Linked DNA regions of Drosophila melanogaster. Changing the gene in region 1 together with any one later gene gives a genetic interaction. Each region holds a gene or a part of one and is shown on either strand. Other genes may lie near its edges.

Evidence for each region.
Region 2: of Tm1 (region 1) and br, changing one enhances a phenotype caused by changing the other (phenotypic enhancement), as found in Drosophila melanogaster (one study listed by BioGRID).

What each region holds. Positions count from the first base shown.
Region 1 is NT_033777.3:15,279,580-15,283,508, forward strand, and holds the start of Tm1 (tropomyosin 1), read left to right. Parts: upstream 1-1,970; 5' UTR 1,971-2,024; exon of another isoform or gene 2,025-2,278; intron 2,279-3,929. UniProt on the Drosophila melanogaster protein: Tropomyosin, in association with the troponin complex, plays a central role in the calcium dependent regulation of muscle contraction.
Region 2 is NC_004354.4:1,610,105-1,614,033, forward strand, and holds the start of br (broad), read left to right. Parts: upstream 1-2,236; 5' UTR 2,237-2,699; intron 2,700-3,552; exon of another isoform or gene 3,553-3,841; intron 3,842-3,929.

The DNA.
Region 1 (3,929 bases):
AAGCCAATTTCTGCCCGTGTAAACCAAACCCAGTCGTCTATGCCCCTCAGCCCGGATTAAACTTTTCCATACTATTTTCGCCAAATATGGTCGCGATTTTTCTAACAAGATTGCGCACTTGTCTGAGCCAAGCTGAGTGCTACACACTCATGAACTTATTTAATTCGCGTATATTTTGGAATTATGAAAACTTTGGTTTTCCATAACTAACACATGTCAACGGGTCGGATTCGATGGCCATGATTTCGTTTTCGTATTTAGCAAGTTGCTCAGACTGTTTTGCTATTTTACAATGTTTTTCGACGTTTTCTCAAGGGTCTTTTCCATGTCTATGTCTTCTTTGTTTTTTTTTTTCTTTGTCTTTATAAATATATTGATCTAGTTTTCTTGCTTCGAAAACTTTTTGTTTTTAATGAATACAATTACGTCATTTTGTGGGTGTTGTTTGAGTTAATTTTAAAATTTTCATCAACCTCGGACTGGCAAATGTTCTCCAAGATAAGAGAACAACAAAAAATGGAATAAGTAAATACATATATGTATATATGTTGGGGCTATCAAATTGGCTTATATTTATAGGTTTATATTTAAAGACTTTAGTTGCATTCGAACATATAAGATCTCCAACAATTTTGTTGGCGATAAGATTAAAAGGGCGTGATCAACGAGTAAGCAAGCAATCTAGAAGGGCAAATATGCATATCACCAGATCGGAAACTCAACGATTATGGGGAAACTGAATTTCAACCGTTTTCACGTTTGCAATTTAAAAAAGCATGAATCATGGATGCATTTTCTTGCGAGACAGTTACAAAAAAACGTATACTTTCATATGTGACATTTATGATTGCCAGCAAAATGTTTTCCGTTCGCAGACATGACGTTGAAAAATCTATAGAAAGAGCTTTAATATATAGAGCAGAAAATAATAATCTGTAGACCTATGGGGGAAATACGTACGTATAACTACGTGAAACAAGATTTTTTGGCATATCAATAACTGAAAATTAAAAATAGAAGTTGAGAACATCAAAAAGCAAAACAAAACGATCCCCAAACCAATACACTCTCATCGGGAAAAGAGACACGATTGCCTAAGTATTGGATATATTTTGCAATGGGCAAAAACACTGGGTGAAAAGAGCTTTTCAAAATACGGGGAAATATTCAAAAATAGGCTGAAAGAAAGGCATTCGATTCGAAATGAGTGAGCATTACCCATACATGTGCAGCGAACAGGTGAAAGCACCAAGGAAAGGATCGGAAAAGAGAGGCAGAGAGAAAGCGGAGAGAGAGCGCAGGCGCCGGGCTTGAATGTGTGTGTATAAATTGTAACTGTATTTGAAATTCTGATCTTATGCTTTCCGTTACACTGGCAGAAATCGGATAGGAACATAAATTAAATATATTACGGGCTGAGGGGTAAAGAAATGTTGTACAGCTTTCTTAACTGGCATAGCCCATTTCACTTTGGAGTATTTTCTGAATGAAAAAAACATTTAATATAATTTATAAATGAATTTCAAAATTCAAATTTGTAATAACAAAAGTAGCATGAGTAAATGATGATAAATGATAAGTGCGACATAAATTTATAAATACATTAAATCAAAAGTGCATATTAAATGTCCTGATATTAGAAAGCATGCATGATTACATTAAATATGAGTATATAAATAAGAACAAATGCACCCCTTTGTTGATTTCGCGCAGTGTATAAGCTATTGTACCCCGGCCGAGCAATTTACCGATGCTCTTGGGGTAAATTGAGAGCCAAGTGCAGTTCCAAAGTAGGCGCAGACAGCAACAACATATGCTCGCTTTTGGCCGAAAAGTGCGCACTCTCGCACACAGATACTCACGCACACAGGCGCACTAGCGCGGCGGCTCACACGCACACACACCAGCGCAAGCCGCTCGAAATCGACCAAGCGGCGAGCATCGAACGTCAACATATTGAATAAATATTTTCAGTTGAACATCACAATCCGTTCAAGTCGCGGATAACTCCGAATAAAAGTTTTGTAAGTAAAAAGGAATACGTTATCGTTGATCAGTAAAAAATTATACAAAAAAAAATACAAAGATATCGCTGAATATTTCCACAAAAATACTTGTCGAGTGCTTCAAAAATAATTTTAACTGTGCTAGAATTCGATTCTTATTTAAAAAAAAGGATCGAACCAAAAAGTATAATTACATAACCACAACGTTGCTGCAATATCTAACTTAAAATCCACCAAAGTGCTGTGCAATTCTCAACCCTAATCATCCGCAAGTATTGAAAAAAATTGAAAATTTTCCCAGTTAGAATCGAAATAAACCCAAATAGAGGTTAAGCACCTTTGCAGATCGCGAAAAAAAAACTAAGAATAACGATTCTGGGGACCTTGTCAAGTTTGTCTGCTAACCGCAAGTTGCTATATAGGGTTTCAGCTAAACGTATTTCATGAGATATATAAACATGGTCAGTGGGAACTTCGAACGATCTTAGATTTTAGCGGCAGAAGTAAAGAATTAAGGCAAAAGGAGGATTATCGAGCTCTCTTTCCTCCTTTCAGAAACTAAAATTGTCATGTTGTATATGAGAAAGTAAGGGAATCATTCTTAAGATAAAGATCAATGAGATAGACTTCAAGATAGCTATCCTTGCTATGGAATGGTTTCCTGAATTATAATTTTCTTTAATCCAAAATGTTTAGGAATTCATTGAGCCTATTTTCCAAGTAACTGGGCAACACGCGCATTTACTTTGCAGTTTTGTATCTTTGAAATCTGATCCACGACCGCTGGCCCTAGCTGCCAAATGAATCTGAAGCGAACGTAGGCGAAATGCGCCAAGAATTTCCCAGAAAGCTCCCTTCCTCTCAGCTTAGTATTAAGTAATATCCGTGGAGAGGCTAGATATTCAACAGATGCCTCGGCTGTCCTATTTTTAGATACAATCCGTGTGTGCTACAGATACTAAACAGTGAAATAGAGAGCAGGAAAGCTGCTAGAGTATCGCCCAAGGCATTTGGCTAAAGAATCTATATGCATTAGACCCATTTGAACCAACGTGTGTATATATCGTACTCTAAGAATAGAAAATTCTGTATTCTGTATGATTAAATTCCGAATTTTCCATGCGATAATTTGTAAATTTTGTGTGGAAAGGTAGATCTTATAAGGTCGGATACAGATGGAAAATATCTGTAACTTGTAAACTAGGCAGAAAAGTAGGAATTGCGAGGTGCCAGTTCATAAGGATGGCTTGTTAGTTGGCCATAGTTAGTTAGATATAAAAAATGAGTTATACATATACGCATTTTGTTTCCTGAAATATTAACTTTGTTCCTAATGATAACGTCATTTCTTGATAAGGATGATCTTAATACTCATAAACCTCTTTGGTGTAGGCCCATTTTTCGATTATATATATGTCATTGCCGAAAGTTATAAGATGTCATGGGAATTTTGTGCTGAATCAACGCAAACATAACTCAATGTGTCACCTTAATCGACTTATGGCCCATACACATGCAGATTTATATATATATATATATGTATATCTGTGTGTTTTTTAAGCGAACAAAAAATTTGCCTCGATTGCGTTTTCATTAAAATTCAACGTTTTTTTTTTTTGGCTTTGGCTTTATTCGATTGGCGCTTTTTTCTCCAATGCCACTTCTCTTCGGCGGATCAGGCACAGGAATGTAAACAGAGTTTTTAAAAATAAATGCATGTTTAAGGCAGAACCACACAACAAATGACAGCGATGAGCCGTAATAAAGAATTAAAATTTCACGCGGCGAAATTCGAGTCAATTAGCCGCCGGCTGCACTCGGTTCGAGCCATGACAAATGTTGGTCAAGTGGGTTTCGTGTTGGCCAGGAAAGGCAAAGGGGGTGTCAATGGGCACCAAGGAGGGGCCAAAAAACCCACCAGCT
Region 2 (3,929 bases), on another chromosome or scaffold:
ATCAAAGCGCTTCTCGTGTAAACACTGGTGTTTCACGGCTGGCGAGGGCAGTCTCTAATTCTCACTCTCTCTCTCGCTCGCGCCCCATCTATATCGCTGGCGGTTCCGTCGTTGACCTCCTCGCGTATTACGTATACGCCCGATATGCAGGCGAAGAGAGATCGACGTCGGCGGATGGAGATGGCCAGTGCGTGAGCGGGAGCGAGTGACTGCGGGTGACTAACCCACTGCAGTTTCAATTAGAACAAACGACATCGACAAGTTCAATGTGATCATTTCGCCTTCGCAGTCGCTGTTTTCTGCCTTCTGCCTTCGACGTCGGCGTCTACGCCGTCAGGTTGTTGTCGAGGTTGTTGGCTGCCTGCGACTCCGTTTGCGCCGCCTAGAGGTTAATGCCGGTTGTAATTGCAAAGCACCCAACCCGAAACCGGAGACCCAACAAAGGAGCGGAGCTTAGAGCGACTACAGTGGTCCCTGCCCGCGCGACTCGCCTCTTTCTGGCTAATCTGTGACTCGGTGACATTTGCGATGATCTTGAAACAACCATAAACCGAACGAGACGCAGCAATAAAGGCATTATGGGTACGTAGGTAATGTTGTGTATATGGTACGTGTAGATACATTTATACGTTTATGAATCGGCAAGAGGTCACTGCAGACAGGGAAACCTTAACAAAACAACACTCAAGACAATTCTTGAAAAATGCTAACGTGAGTGCGAGACCAGCAGAATTAAAAAACCAAAATCGCCACGCATGAATCTAAAAAATAAAAAAACCAAAAACAGCTCATAAAAATATCGGCGACAACAACAAGGGGATGCAGCAGTAAAATAAAAACGCTGCAAAAACAATTAAATTCGGACAAAAAAAAAAACTGGCAAACAAGATGCAAGTGGCAACAAGTTTCTCAGACTCAGTCGCTCAGTTTCTCCTCAGGGCCAGCAAATCTTCGCTCTGCAGTCTTCGGTCTTAAGTCTTTGTGCGTGCCAGGAGGTGGGGCGGGGGAGCAGGGAAATGGGAATCTGGGTTATGGCAAACAGGGGAGCCATGTAATAAAATGCGGTAATGGTAATGGTAATGGTAACCAAAATATTAAACAACTCTTCACCAACATCAGCAGAAAATGCAATTCCAAAGGGTGACGCAAGGGAGGGAAGGCAGGGGAAGGCCCTAAAAACAGGCCGACTTTGGATTTGGGTTTGCGTTTGGGATGGGGCTCGAAATGTGGGCTACACTTTCAATTGGAACCCTCTGTGGGGGTATGGTGGGAAGGGGGTACAGGCGGGTCGTGAAATCGGGCAATTCCGAGCCGAAGACGCACGACGATATTCTGCCTAAAAAAAAAAACGCTCCGATCGCCGCCGACTTTGTGTGCGTATGTACCGCTTTCTGTATCTTTGGAGTTACATAGGGGGAAAGTTGCATATTCCCCTACCCGTTCCCATTCCCCTTACCCCTCTCGCTCCATATCACTCTATTTACAATTTGCCGCTGCCGATCTGCGGATCTGCCCCAAACATTCGCGTTTGTAATTGCATCGGTGTGTGGGCGGCGCTCGTTGATTCGTTCGCTCGCCGACGACTTTGCATTTCATTTCCCCCAATTTTGTCGGCCTGACAATGAATAAACAAAACTTCTAAATGGGCAATACCAGAAAACACAACAGAATATACGGACAGCAGAAAAAAAAATAATAAAAAAACCACAACCACACACATGGAACCCCCGAAAAAAACGCAATTTTCGCTTGCTCGGCTTCGCCGCCGTCGCATGCGCAGAAAATTTGCTCGTTTTTTTGGCGACTGCGCTGCAGGCAGCGCTGTAAACTGCAGCGATCGGATCGAGTTGATCGCAGAACGCAGATCGCAGATCGCAGATCGCACTGCTGCCGCTGCCGCCGCCGTCGACGTCGCTGCACTCCAAAAAAGCGAAGGAAACACACAATCGCACACGAGAAGTATATAACAAAAAAGCGAGCAAATAAGGCAAAAAGTAAAAAGTAAAAAGCAAGAAGCGAAAAAAGCGAATGAAACATACAGGCGGCATAAGTATATACACACACACACATATATATCACAAACACTGGTGCACAGCGAATTCTCTGATTCAATTGGGCAGACGCACACACTCGCGCACACACCAATACACACGCACACTGGCAGAGGGCAGCGGCACAAGCCCAACACATTTAACTGCATTTTTTCGGAACTCAGTTGAGCTTTTTAATTCGATCGGTTCAGTTACTAAAGTTAGTTCAGCCTAAACGCACAATTTCAATTTCCATTTCTAAGTTTGAGCCCGAATTGAATAGCATTAGTGCCCACCCCACGCCTACCCTCGCACCACCGCACCAACGCACCACAGCAGTATCCAACACACACACGAGGACTGGACAATTCCCTCTGTTCTATTTTTTTGTGTTTTTTGTCAAGTGCACCCAAGCAAAGACCAAAGGACGCAAACCATCTAGTGCGCGATTCGCGCGCGTTTTGAATCAAAAGAATCTAAGAATCCAAGAATAGCTAAATCACTGAATCGCAGAATCAGGAGCGGAAAAAGCGAAAGCCAACCCCAAAAACCCAAAGCCCCAAAAGTTCAAGTGAATAATCAGTGTGCATCCCCAAGTAGTCGACCCAATGAAGCGCCGCCATGAGCAAGGATGCACCTACTGAGCGCAACTACAACCGCACCATCCAGGTAAGGGTTTCCTACATCCCATCCGACCCCATCCGCTTTGCTTTGTAGGGCAAACCGAACGTGCTGGAAGCTCCTTGATCTAGGGGCAGAGGGAGCCTAGCATCCAGATCTATATCGACATACACACACACACACATCCATATTCTCACACACGGTTGCAGGTACAGATACACACTGAAATTTGATTCGGATTCGTGGCCCGATCCATAAGAAGGACATTTGAGTCATCCGATGCAGCTGCCTGCTCTCTCCCTCTCTGCCTTTGGGCTCGGCTCTCCTCATTAGCACTTTGATGAAGAGTCACAAAAGCGGACGGACCGGGCCTAGACCCCTCCCTTCGAACTGTCCAAAAATTTCGGTGCATCTGCATACAAAGGCACACAAAGACGCACAGAGTGTACGGATACAGATACAGATACAGATGCAGCTACATATACATATACAGATACAGACACATATACTGTTACAGATACAGATGCACTGCAGGAAGCAGGGCAGCACAGTAGCCTCAGTCGCCTCTTTCAGCCCCGTTTCAGCTTCTCCACCCCTGGACTCTGCGCTGCATTGTTCCACTTCTACACTTCCACACTTCCCCACTTCCCCACTTCCCCACTTGTCCGCTACCCGCCACTCCTCGCTTTTTCGGCTGCAGTCTGTCAGTCAGACTGAGGCTTCGTGAAGCTCACGGCCAAGGCGAAGGCAGCTGAGGATCTGCACTCGGCCGAACACGAAGGCCGGTTGGGCAGGGTTCGGGAACGATCGAAAGCCAGCCCGAAACGGCGGAACTGCAGTTTGCTGTTCAGCGTCGCACTGAGCAAACGTCGTGTGGCAGCTCATCGCCAATTGCGAATTGCAAACTGCAAACTGAGTACCGTAAATCGCTCGCGCAAAGTGCAAGTCGCGCTGAATTCGCAAGTTCACATAATATCGGCATCCGCATATCCGCATATCTGTATATCTGCACATCCGCAAGCAGCTTGCTTCCACGCCAATTTTGTTTTCGTTGCGTTTATATTTTTTTTTCTGTTGATGTTTCTCGTTATATACATAGTATCCTTTTAGCAACCCACTCAGGCTTTTGCTGATTCTATTTCGATCGCAATCGGTCTCAGGAATCAATCTCAGGATTAGCTCTACGGCAGGTAAGTCACGTGAGGAGCGGTGGTGTTTCTGAAACTTTTGCTTTCAATGGGTTTGCTTCTGGAACTGGGCCAACAGCGAGACTCAAAT